4 linked regions of the Saccharomyces cerevisiae S288C genome follow. The protein of the gene in region 1 binds, or shares a complex with, the protein of each later gene. Each region holds a gene or a part of one and is shown in the gene's direction. Other genes may lie near its edges. The genes, in order: MRPL15, MRPL17, MRP20 and MRPL32.

Region 1 (2,780 bases):
ACCCTTAAACTTTCTTGAGCGGATTTAAAAGAATTCTTGAGAAATAGGTGTAACTTTATTCTTCCTCCGTTTATTTTGTTAATTCTCTTGTGCCAACCGTCTTTCATTCGAGCTTTTGTTGTATACCATAAAATAACTAAGTCTGTTTTGTATCGTCTCCAGCCCATTAGGTCATCATCCTTTAATGGGTATGCAATATGATTGTCGAAGTCGACGTAGTATTTTCCTGAAGGAGCCCACTGACTTAAAGAGTCACTTGATGAATCGTAAGATTTTTTATCAACAAAATCGATATTGCCGTACAACAGCTTCCTTTCATTATTACGTAATGACTGTTGTGATTTAAAACCTGCCAACACATCACCAGTCAGGGAATATTCGAGGGCGAGGTATGAAAAGGTCATGGAAAGCAATGAAGATAGCATGATAACATGCCACATCTTCAATTTAGCAGATTTACCCTCACTTTTATCTATGATATGATCCGATAGTGTGCTAGAATTCCTTATCGTACTATCCTTCAGTTTCGACCCCTCCATACTTGGCAATACCGTTCCGCCAACATTTGAGCCGGACAAAGTATCAAATGACTCTGAAATAGTGGGAACTCCAGTTTGATCAATATTAACTCCAGCATTACTAAATTCATTAGATGTTCTAAAATCGTAAATACGATTCATCTGTGCAGACTCTTCACTGCTAGTGTTCGATAGGACATCTGCATCGAAGTCCTCGTCGTCCTCTCCTGCAAAGGAGCTTTCATGCAAACTATCCAAAGATATTTCTGACTTCGATGACTGTTCTTCCCCTTCTCTCCCTTTACGTAATCTACGTAATCTAACTAAATTCCAATGATCGTCTTCTTCTGACATTTTAGGTCCGACAACTCGACTGTTTTACTAGTCTCTATTATCGTCACTGCGTATTACTCTGCTACTGTGCTTGTTACTTTATACCGGAACAGTAGCTCCTAAACGATTATTCCAAATGAAGAAAAACGTTTGGCCAGTAACCTGCATAAAACTGAATAACTATAATGATACTCCGACTAATAATATATCCCAATGCCCCATCTCATCTGTGTAGATCAATTTTTATGGCTCGATCCAGGTACCTTGATAAGCAGCTGTCGCGCAAAGGGGTTACCGCAAAATGGATAGATGGACCGGGGGCACACCGGGGTAGGGGGTCCGGAGGGTTAACTGTCAACTCCACCCATACAAGACCGCGCAGAAATCGTCGCAGGACCCCGCCGAACGGCGAAAGCAAATATGCAGCCGTAAAGACCTAACAATAAACCTAATGTAGTCATAGGGCTAATTGATTTTAAATATATGACCTAGCTGACTATTCAAGTTTGCCCTAATTGATGAGTTTTTGAAAAAAAAAACAACTTAGGTTTCGCTATCCAAGCTTATGCTATGGGAAGCGTTGGAAAACTTGCATATAGTATGAACAAGAGCGAGATATAAAACTATAACGGTAGATGGAAAGTAAAGAGTAGACAAGCTCGGAAACATGGAAAATAGCATGATGTTTATATCGCGTTCCTTGCGGAGACCCGTTACTGCTTTGAACTGCAATTTACAAAGCGTTAGAACAGTCATATACCTTCATAAGGGTCCGAGAATTAATGGTTTGAGACGAGATCCAGAGTCGTACTTGAGAAATCCTAGCGGGGTACTCTTTACTGAAGTTAACGCAAAAGAGTGTCAAGACAAAGTTAGATCCATACTACAATTGCCCAAGTACGGAATAAATTTATCAAACGAACTGATTTTGCAGTGTTTAACACATAAGTCGTTCGCACACGGGTCAAAGCCATACAACGAAAAACTGAATCTGCTAGGAGCACAGTTTTTGAAACTACAGACGTGCATTCATTCGTTAAAGAATGGTTCGCCGGCCGAGAGTTGCGAGAACGGGCAACTTTCTTTGCAGTTCAGCAATCTGGGAACAAAATTCGCTAAGGAATTAACGTCCAAAAACACAGCATGCACATTCGTTAAATTACATAATCTAGACCCTTTCATATTTTGGAAGATGAGAGACCCAATAAAAGATGGCCACATAAATGGTGAAACCACGATTTTTGCTAGTGTCTTGAACGCATTTATTGGTGCAATTCTGTCAACGAATGGATCTGAAAAAGCAGCTAAATTTATCCAAGGAAGTTTGCTGGATAAAGAAGATCTTCATTCCTTGGTTAACATTGCTAATGAAAATGTAGCATCTGCAAAGGCAAAAATATCCGACAAGGAAAATAAAGCATTTCTGTGAAGATACAAAAAATATAGTTGATGGTTCACTGGCCAAAAATGTATAAAAGAAAAATTTATCTGTAAATAGTGATCGAAATAAAATAAGATAATAACTAAAGAATATATATGACTTTACTGTACAGATCTATAATTGAAAAATGACGAGAGGTCCTGTGAAAGAGTCTGCCTGTTCGCCATCTTCACACATTCAACCAATTCCCTGGTGCGCTTGGTTACTTCCATCAGGATATCTGCTAATTTTTGATAGAATCGTTTCTTCCCAAGCTTTGTGGAATCGCATCCATAAGTACACAATTCCGATAACTTTTGCGAGCAATCTGTGAGCCTTTCAATAATTTCTTTACAGTGCTCGCCTAAATCCAGTTTAAAACTTTTTTGGACCATTGCTTTGGTAGTCATATCAATCACCGATTCCAAAATAGGAATAATCTCGATGGAATTTTGACATAATCTCGAAACTGATCTTGCGGACTTGAACAATTTTGATTTAGAGGCTTG
Region 2 (3,221 bases), on another chromosome or scaffold:
ACTACTCAAGACTTTGTCCCGATTCTCATAAATTAGGTTCTTTATATATCATCGATTCAATAGGTAGAGCTTACTTGGATGAAACAAGATCAAATTCAAACAGCAGCAGCAACAAACCCGGTACTTGTGCCCATGCCATAAACACGTTGGGCGAAGTAATTCAAGAACTGCTATCCGATGCTATTGCAAAAAGTAATCAAGACCACAAGGAAAAAATTCGTATGCTTTTAGACATTTGGGACAGGTCCGGCTTGTTTCAAAAGAGTTACTTGAACGCCATCAGGTCAAAATGCTTTGCTATGGACATATCGAATAACACCGCGAACACCGCTTCACAACAACTATCACTGGATCCCAAGCAGAGGTCGAAACAAATCTTGTCAAATCTAAAGAAAAGTCCTCCTTTAAACTTGAACATAAGTCTTCCAACTGATTTGACTTCCACAGATCCAGCCAAACAGCAAGCAGCTCTTTTCCAAGTAATAGCGGCTCTGCAGAAACATTTTAAAACTTTGCCTTCACATACATCCGTGGGTACAGTCGCACCTCCCCAAGCCCATACAATTACCGAATATGGTAGCAGACGTGAACGTGAACGTGAAAGAGAAAGATATAACTCAAGAAGGAATAGATCAAGATCTCCTCCGGCACCATTTTCTCAGCCATCGACAGGCAGGAAGGACCGCTATCCATCTGTGGCCCAGGACCAATACAGCATAGGCGCCCCCAATACGACATTTGGCACAAACAATCACCACTTATACCCCGATGAGCTTAATGTTTCCAATAATCCTCATTATAGACCAAAACCAGTAAGTTACGACTCTACATTGCCACCAGATCATATTAAAGTCTACAGCCGTACTCTTTTCATCGGTGGGGTACCACTAAACATGAAGGAATGGGACCTTGCTAACGTTTTAAAACCTTTTGCTGAAGTACAAAGCGTCATTCTGAATAACTCCAGAAAACACGCTTTTGTGAAAGTTTATTCAAGACATGAGGCCGAAAATGTTTTGCAAAACTTCAATAAAGATGGAGCCCTGCCATTGAGAACTAGGTGGGGAGTTGGTTTTGGTCCAAGAGATTGTTGTGACTATCAACACGGTTACAGTATTATTCCTATGCACAGGCTCACGGACGCTGATAAAAAATGGTCAGTAAGTGCGCAATGGGGTGGCACTTCTGGTCAACCTCTCGTTACCGGTATTGTTTTCGAAGAACCGGATATTATCGTTGGTGAAGGTGTTTCTTCCAAGGCAATATCTCAAAAGATGCCTACTGATTCTGGCAGAAATGGGCCACGTTCTGGTAAACCTAACAAATCTGGTAGCATATCGTCGATATCTCCAGTACCCTACGGCAATGCACCATTGGCATCTCCTCCACCACAGCAATATGTGCAACCTATGATGCAGCAACCGTATGGTTATGCCCCCAACCAACCATTACCTTCTCAGGGACCTGCCGCAGCGGCTCCCCCTGTACCTCAGCAACAATTTGACCCCACTGCTCAATTGAATTCTTTGATGAATATGCTTAACCAACAGCAGCAGCAACAACAACAAAGCTAAGATCTTTACTCCACCCTTTATTTGCTCATAGTACATAAAACTAATCTACCTCTATATATAATTTCTGTTTTTTCCTATGTTCCTTTTTTTTTTTTGTTAAATGGACATCCTTATGTATTCACATAACTACTGTGTTTCAAATGTAGCATTATCCTATTCTTTATTCTCTTTTTTTACCGTATTCCTGGTTTTTTTTCAAGGTTTAGATGAAAATGAAAATGAAAAAAAAAAAAGGAAAGAAAACAGTTAAACAATCAATAAACTTTATATTCTACGTAATCATAAGCGCTTATCCAGTACCATGAAGGTAAATTTAATGTTGAAAAGAGGGCTTGCTACTGCAACTGCAACTGCCAGTTCCGCTCCCCCCAAGATTAAAGTCGGAGTACTACTGTCAAGAATCCCTATAATTAAATCAGAATTAAATGAACTAGAGAAAAAATACTATGAGTACCAATCAGAACTAGAAAAGAGACTAATGTGGACGTTTCCGGCATATTTTTATTTCAAAAAGGGTACTGTAGCAGAACACAAATTTCTATCCCTGCAGAAAGGACCTATCTCCAAAAAAAATGGCATTTGGTTTCCTAGAGGCATACCGGACATTAAACATGGCAGAGAAAGAAGTACTAAGCAAGAAGTTAAACTTTCTGATGACAGTACAGTAGCATTTAGCAACAATCAAAAAGAGCAAAGCAAAGACGATGTTAATAGGCCCGTGATTCCCAACGACAGGATAACGGAAGCAGATAGGTCAAATGATATGAAGAGCCTTGAAAGACAATTGAGCAGGACCTTATATCTTTTGGTTAAGGATAAAAGCGGTACTTGGAAATTCCCTAACTTCGATCTTTCTGATGAATCTAAGCCGTTACACGTACACGCAGAGAACGAATTGAAATTGTTGAGCGGTGATCAGATATACACTTGGTCTGTTTCTGCTACGCCCATAGGTGTTTTGCAGGACGAGAGAAATAGGACTGCTGAGTTTATTGTGAAGTCACACATTTTGGCTGGAAAATTTGATTTGGTGGCGTCGAAAAATGATGCATTCGAGGATTTTGCTTGGCTGACAAAAGGTGAGATCAGTGAATATGTACCAAAAGATTACTTTAACAAAACAGAATTTCTTTTAGCGGATAATTGAAATCACAAAAACAGATGCGTTTTTAACGTTACATATACAAAATATATGCGTGCATATATATTTATATATTAGGTTGTCGTCAATCACATGTAAATATCATTAAATGAAAGAAAAAGAATGTGCATTTTCTACCGCATTCCTTCCATCAGGTAACTTATTTTTTTGAGTTGAATCTACTCGGCCTATCCTTGCCAATCCTATCAGTATTCTTACTCGTCCTTTTATTGTGGTTGTTGCCTCCACCGTTGTTTTTCCTACGTTTTTCAATCATCGTGTTATCGAACATGTCTTTCCAATAAGTTATTAGATTTTTTTCGTTTTTAACAAAATGATTTGATAGTGTGTCATTCTTGCCTGACATGATATACCATGATTTATCAGGATAAAACTTCAAAACGGGATCGGTTTTGTAATTGGCTAAAGATTTAGAGTGGAGTAAATTACCACTATTAAGATCATAGAAATATACCATTTCATCTTCTGTACAAATTCCTAGTATT
Region 3 (3,084 bases), on another chromosome or scaffold:
GAAATGACGCGTATTCGAACTTAGTGGAATTGATATTCCCTCATCATTTGAGAATTTCTATTCATGCGCACACTAACAGCGGGCCCAAATTTGGTATAAAAGTAATCTCCAACGAACAGTGTTCTATTGTTAGTTCGTTAGAAGACCTTGATGAACCCAAATTTGAAGATTTTTTACATATTCCCACACCTTGGCATAATTGTGTCGTGAAGGTTGAGGATGAAAAGGAGAAATACTTTTTGACAAAATCAAAAGTAGTCAAGGAGGCTCTCGAAAAGGGTATGTATGATGGTGTATGGAAAGATACTCGTTTCGATATTGGAGAAGGAGGACATTTCGTTATCAAGAAAATCTCTTAATAAAGTAAGAGCGCTACATTGGTCTACCTTTTTGTTCTTTTACTTAAACATTAGTTAGTTCGTTTTCTTTTTCTCATTTTTTTATGTTTCCCCCCCAAAGTTCTGATTTTATAATATTTTATTTCACACAATTCCATTTAACAGAGGGGGAATAGATTCTTTAGCTTAGAAAATTAGTGATCAATATATATTTGCCTTTCTTTTCATCTTTTCAGTGATATTAATGGTTTCGAGACACTGCAATGGCCCTAGTTGTCTAAGAGGATAGATGTTACTGTCAAAGATGATATTTTGAATTTCAATTGACGTAATTAATGATACTATTAATAATACAGAGCGTATATGAAGTATTGCAAATAACATGCACAGTTCTTTTGGGATGAGAATGATAATGAAAGGCGAAGGCGGGCGTTCAGAAAAGCGTTGCGGAGTAACAAGTGATTAAATAGCACCCAAATAATCTTCTTTGATACTACCGATTGCGTGAATAGAACTCACTTGACTGATACAACCTTCAATTTTAACTCTAATTCTACTTTTTATGGTGATGACATCCTCGGAACTTTGGTATGATGGTGGGTTTGAACCCGCATTAAAGGTTAAATCTTGAGGCATCAGATGCTTTGTCACAAATACTTTCATTGGACCTACTTGCACTTCGAACCCGTGCTGAGAACATGAAACGACTGTGCCGTCCACTACTTCCCCTTTAAATGGTTTGAAAACTACAGCTCTATATTTCACGTTGAACTCGGCGGACCCATCTGTGGGCAATATTCTCCCACGTTGAATATCTATATTATCATAGTCTAGGACACAAAGAATATATCCGAATTTACCCGTACACGAACCTTCAACCTCTTCCAATAGTTTTGTCTTTAGATATTGCTTCATTCGAGGACCGAAAAAGGACGGATGAAGGGTAATATTAAGCGAAAGGTCTTTAATAAAAAACATTCTCAGAAATTGAGTTATTTATACAGTGGTTGAAATGTGAATCTATTCTTGGACTTTCCCACTGTCTAATCGCAAAGGAGAATGGTGTAGGAGGAGAAACGGAAAAAGAAAGGCTATGATATTCTGGGAGAAGAGATAGGTGGACAGACCTGATCGACCCAATGTTAGAGAATAAATCGACGAAGTGAGCTTGTCTACGTTATTGGCATTTTCACTGGGATATAGGAATACCGCATTTATTTTCCTTGTATTTTTCAAAATAGCCGTTGAAACCCACAGAAGATCACTTAATACGTAATCGCGTTATACGAATTTTCTCGATGAAAAAGGGAAAACGATGGTATTAGAACTTGAAATGTACATACATTTCTTGTGGAGAACGTAACGCTACTAACAAATAATGTGCTTTGATTAGCAGGCTCCAACAGAAAAAAAAATAAAATAAAAATAAAAAGTACGCAACACCAACACAGAATATGCCACGATTGACGGTTGGAACGAAGAATATGTTGTATCCTTTGCAAAAAACACTTGCAGTAGGAAGTTGCAAGCCAGAGCAGGTTCCAATAAGATCACTAGCCTCAGTGGTGGAGAGTTCCTCCAAAATACTCGACAAAAGCGGCAGCGATCGCGAAGTAGATATAAACGTAAGCGAGAAGATTTATAAGTGGACAAAGGCGGGCATAGAGCAGGGAAAGGAGCATTTCAAAGTTGGAGGTAACAAAGTCTACTTTCCCAAGGCCAGGATCATCCTCTTGAGGCCCAACGCGAAGCACACACCGTATCAAGCAAAATTCATCGTCCCAAAATCGTTCAACAAACTGGATCTCAGAGACTATCTTTATCATATCTACGGCTTAAGAGCAATGAACATTACGACGCAGCTGCTTCATGGGAAGTTTAACCGTATGAACCTACAGACGACGCGGTTTAGAGAACCGCAGATCAAGAAAATGACTATCGAGATGGAAGAACCCTTCATTTGGCCCGAAGAACCCCGTCCGGACGAAAACTCCTTCTGGGACAGCACCACGCCTGACAACATGGAAAAGTACCGTGAAGAAAGACTTAACTGCTTGGGCTCAGACGCCAACAAACCCGGCACAGCATTCGACGGAGTCGTGGGGCCTTACGAACGGGTGGCCCAGCCTTTTATACCTCGCTTCTTAAAACGAGAGATAGACAATAAGCGAGAGCGTCACGCCGCCGAACTGCAGCGCGCAGATAAACTAATTGCCCTGAACAGGTACATAGAAGATCTACATTAGAAGGTTTCCCATTCCACCCCTTCGTTAACCCACACGCAAATACCCAGATAAGCATCTTGCACCCCTCACACTTGTATATACGGAGCAAACTACATAATCTCTAAACAGAAAAAAAAAAAAAGAAAGAAAATTAAGAACATTACTTTTTCCGAGCAACAAACGCAAAAATATATGAAGTGGCTGTAGAACATGCCTTACGGAAGAAAAGAATGATGATGGCATCCCCTTCCCCTGCCCTGGAAGGTGGCCTGTATTTCTGTTCTTTTTTTATTTTTGTTCGCGCAAAGAGCAAGAACATTGGTTGCTTTACTTATTATTTTCAGGGTCGCTTCCGCGGGATGCCATGCACGGATGCCTGCGGAGACAGTGGCGCGGAGCCGTCCGCATGCTCGTTCCGCGGAGAGTCTCGAGCGGGTCCGCGAGGGGCGGATCTGCAACGCACGGTGCCGGGGTTAAGGTATGGCACGATGGTAAGACGATGAGGGAAAAGAATACTGCTA
Region 4 (2,986 bases), on another chromosome or scaffold:
AGTCCTCCTAAGTTAGGTTAAGGGAGGTAGGGAAAAACTGAAGTGTAATGATAATCGAGGATGAAAGTGTGCGGCCAGAAAAATCTTTTCTTTTTATATTAATCTGTAATAAATACAAGACCTATATATTAAAGTAAAACAACATTGAATCAGATCGCATACTGGTGTAGACGTGAAGTAGACATATGATAATCGAGCAGGGTGCTCAATTTGGTGTGGGACACGTTTGGGAAGGTTAAAAGAAGAGGTATATCCGGATTACATTTATTTTTGGCGTATTTTAATAATTTACTAAAAGCGCGAATAGCTTCCCATTAGCAACGCTCAGGGACTCTTTCTAATGTTTATAGTAATACTTTAATAAGATGAGTACCAATTGCTTCTCTATGAGGCACAATCCCTAACCAAACTTTTATTTAGAATTACCGGTAAACTCCGTTTTCTTCATAGATTAAATATTTGGCTAAGACAACAAAATGTTCTTTCATTTTACCAAACGAGAAGGTGATAGCTGTACGCCAGAAAAGAAGGTAAAAACTCTCGCCAATCCAGCAATACCTGTACCTCTAGTTTTCGATCGCATTATGTCATTATGTAAAACCAAGGAGAGAAGCAAGTTACGGTGTTTTCATATAGAATAATTTGAGAATTCTTAATAACATAAGATATATAATCACCACCATTCTTATGAGATTCAACGTTGAATGGCGTTGCTAGACATATGAGCTGAGGAACGACTATTCGCATTTTCTTTCAAGGCAATTAATTGTCTTGCTCTGAACCCTTCATAATGAATGTAGGAAGTTGTTTCGATTAAGTCTTGGAGATGAGTTCGAATCAAAAATTCCCTTAAATATACAAAATCACACTGGTTGATATCCTCAACATTAATAGCGCTCCAACGAGTTTTTCTTCCCCTGAAGGTTTCACCGTTTATTTCAATCTCATTCTCAGAACCAACCACTGCAAACGGAATGATAGATCTAACACTTCTGTTTAGTTCTAATTCCTCGTCAGTTAGTTCTTCCGAATCATAAGGATAAATCTTGAAATTGTATTTTTCGAATTCATTTTGAATAAGCTCCCTAAACTCCGTTCTTTCATCTAAAGTCAATGTATCCGACTTGCCAATAACTGGTATAACATTTGCTATTTCTGTCAATCTTTTCAAGGCTTCAACGTCAAGGCGGCTCAACTCCTTTCCATTTGGTTGCAGGAAATAAAGAATTGCATGAACTCTTGTATCAGTAATAAACCTTTCACGTTGGGCTGTCAATTCTTTACGTAAGTATTGAGAATGTTGTTCCTTAATGTACTTCACAATAGGCTCCCAAGCTTTAGAATTGTCAATAAAGTCACCAAATCCAGGTGTATCTATAACATTAATATTCAAGCGAACGCGGTCCTCCACAAGAGTATGAGTAGAAATTTTCATTTCAGTTGTTTTTGTAACAGGCAGGGCAGAAATATCATCACCAGTAGCAGAATCAATCAAATGTGAGGCAAATAACGTATTTATTAGAGTACTTTTACCCAATCCGGATTGGCCAACAACCATTATATTAAATTGAAAACCTTTCTTCAACAGACGATGTTCGATCTGATTCGTGATGGTATCAAAACCAACATAAGAAGCAGGCTGTACTGAGCTGAGAGGATCCATTAATATATTTATAGAGTGCTTGTAGTAACCGTGGGGCTTGGCCTTGTATTTTCTTGTCTTTGCCTGAAAAAAGTTAAGTATTACTGATACATGTTTACATATATTCTATTCAGCGATTCTGATCTATTTGTGGTCTCTCGAGGAAATCTCATCGTATCATACGATTATTTCCGCAAGCATTCAGAAAGCAAATCTTAATATAAGGCACAATGTTCCCAAATAATACCTTAACTTGGAGACAAAAACACCAGGGAATATCAGCAAACAAACTATGAATTCTTTGATTTTTGGTAAACAATTAGCATTTCACAAAATTGTGCCTACCACTGCAATTGGGTGGTTGGTACCGCTAGGAAATCCTTCACTGCAGATTCCAGGCCAAAAACAACTGGGATCTATCCACCGTTGGTTGAGAGAAAAGCTACAACAAGATCATAAGGACACTGAAGATAAAGATTTTTTCTCTAATAATGGTATTCTACTAGCAGTTCCTAAAAAAAAAGTATCACACCAAAAAAAAAGGCAAAAACTTTACGGTCCAGGTAAGAAGCAATTGAAGATGATTCACCATTTGAATAAGTGCCCATCATGCGGCCATTATAAGAGAGCCAATACACTGTGTATGTATTGTGTTGGACAAATAAGTCATATATGGAAAACGCATACCGCTAAAGAAGAAATTAAGCCGAGACAAGAGGAGGAACTTTCCGAACTAGACCAAAGAGTCCTATATCCTGGTAGAAGAGATACCAAATATACCAAGGATTTGAAAGATAAAGATAACTATTTGGAACGTCGCGTTCGGACTTTAAAAAAGGACTAGGCTCATCTTTCATCTAGTGGTTTCCTTTTTAAATAAACTTAAGCCTGTATATAGAAACTTAATTTCAAACTGTATATTTATTGTTTAAGACAGCATCAATGGTAGAATACAAGGAGCGGAAACAGAAAGAAAAGTCGAAATAGAATTTTTCGCTTTTGGCTTAACAAAATGAGGTCTTTGAAATCAAGAGTTTTGCTTGACAAAAAACAACTATATTTCAAAATATTAGGAAATGATATTATTAGTACAAGGACTTACAGAAATATACTTTTAATATAAAAAGGAAAAAATAAAATAAAAAGAGTTAATTCTTTATTAATTTTCCAACGTCCTACATTGATATATCTGCTGAGATAGAATTAATGTTAGTAAGAACTAAATATTAGACGCGAACTGTTGTTTCTTACATGACAGTACAGCAGGATAATAATCCTTTGTCCTCCTTCTTTTCTGCAGTTGTAGCTGCTGCAGGTTTAGTTTGTCTCTTAGCCGCATCAGAA

The links.
Region 2: MRPL15 (region 1) and MRPL17 share a complex: the UniProt entries of both Saccharomyces cerevisiae proteins name them as parts of the mitochondrial large ribosomal subunit.
Region 3: MRPL15 (region 1) and MRP20 share a complex: the UniProt entries of both Saccharomyces cerevisiae proteins name them as parts of the mitochondrial large ribosomal subunit.
Region 4: MRPL15 (region 1) and MRPL32 share a complex: the UniProt entries of both Saccharomyces cerevisiae proteins name them as parts of the mitochondrial large ribosomal subunit.

What each region holds. Positions count from the first base shown.
Region 1 is NC_001144.5:757,962-760,741, forward strand, and holds MRPL15 (mitochondrial 54S ribosomal protein mL57 MRPL15), read left to right. Parts: upstream 1-1,518; coding exon 1,519-2,280; downstream 2,281-2,780. Other genes in the region: ATG39 (Atg39p), read right to left, coding at 1-872. UniProt on the Saccharomyces cerevisiae protein: Component of the mitochondrial ribosome (mitoribosome), a dedicated translation machinery responsible for the synthesis of mitochondrial genome-encoded proteins, including at least some of the essential transmembrane subunits of the mitochondrial respiratory chain.
Region 2 is NC_001146.8:170,941-174,161, reverse strand, and holds MRPL17 (mitochondrial 54S ribosomal protein mL46 MRPL17), read left to right. Parts: upstream 1-1,875; coding exon 1,876-2,721; downstream 2,722-3,221. Other genes in the region: Nrd1 complex RNA-binding subunit, read left to right, coding at 1-1,574; TEX1 (Tex1p), read right to left, coding at 2,876-3,221. UniProt on the Saccharomyces cerevisiae protein: Component of the mitochondrial ribosome (mitoribosome), a dedicated translation machinery responsible for the synthesis of mitochondrial genome-encoded proteins, including at least some of the essential transmembrane subunits of the mitochondrial respiratory chain.
Region 3 is NC_001136.10:1,275,854-1,278,937, forward strand, and holds MRP20 (mitochondrial 54S ribosomal protein uL23m MRP20), read left to right. Parts: upstream 1-1,792; coding exon 1,793-2,584; downstream 2,585-3,084. Other genes in the region: DIT1 (Dit1p), read left to right, coding at 1-359; DNA-directed RNA polymerase II subunit RPB7, read right to left, coding at 801-1,316. UniProt on the Saccharomyces cerevisiae protein: Component of the mitochondrial ribosome (mitoribosome), a dedicated translation machinery responsible for the synthesis of mitochondrial genome-encoded proteins, including at least some of the essential transmembrane subunits of the mitochondrial respiratory chain.
Region 4 is NC_001135.5:116,686-119,671, forward strand, and holds MRPL32 (mitochondrial 54S ribosomal protein bL32m MRPL32), read left to right. Parts: upstream 1-1,934; coding exon 1,935-2,486; downstream 2,487-2,986. Other genes in the region: septin CDC10, read right to left, coding at 695-1,663; YCP4 (flavodoxin-like fold family protein), read right to left, coding at 2,890-2,986. UniProt on the Saccharomyces cerevisiae protein: Component of the mitochondrial ribosome (mitoribosome), a dedicated translation machinery responsible for the synthesis of mitochondrial genome-encoded proteins, including at least some of the essential transmembrane subunits of the mitochondrial respiratory chain.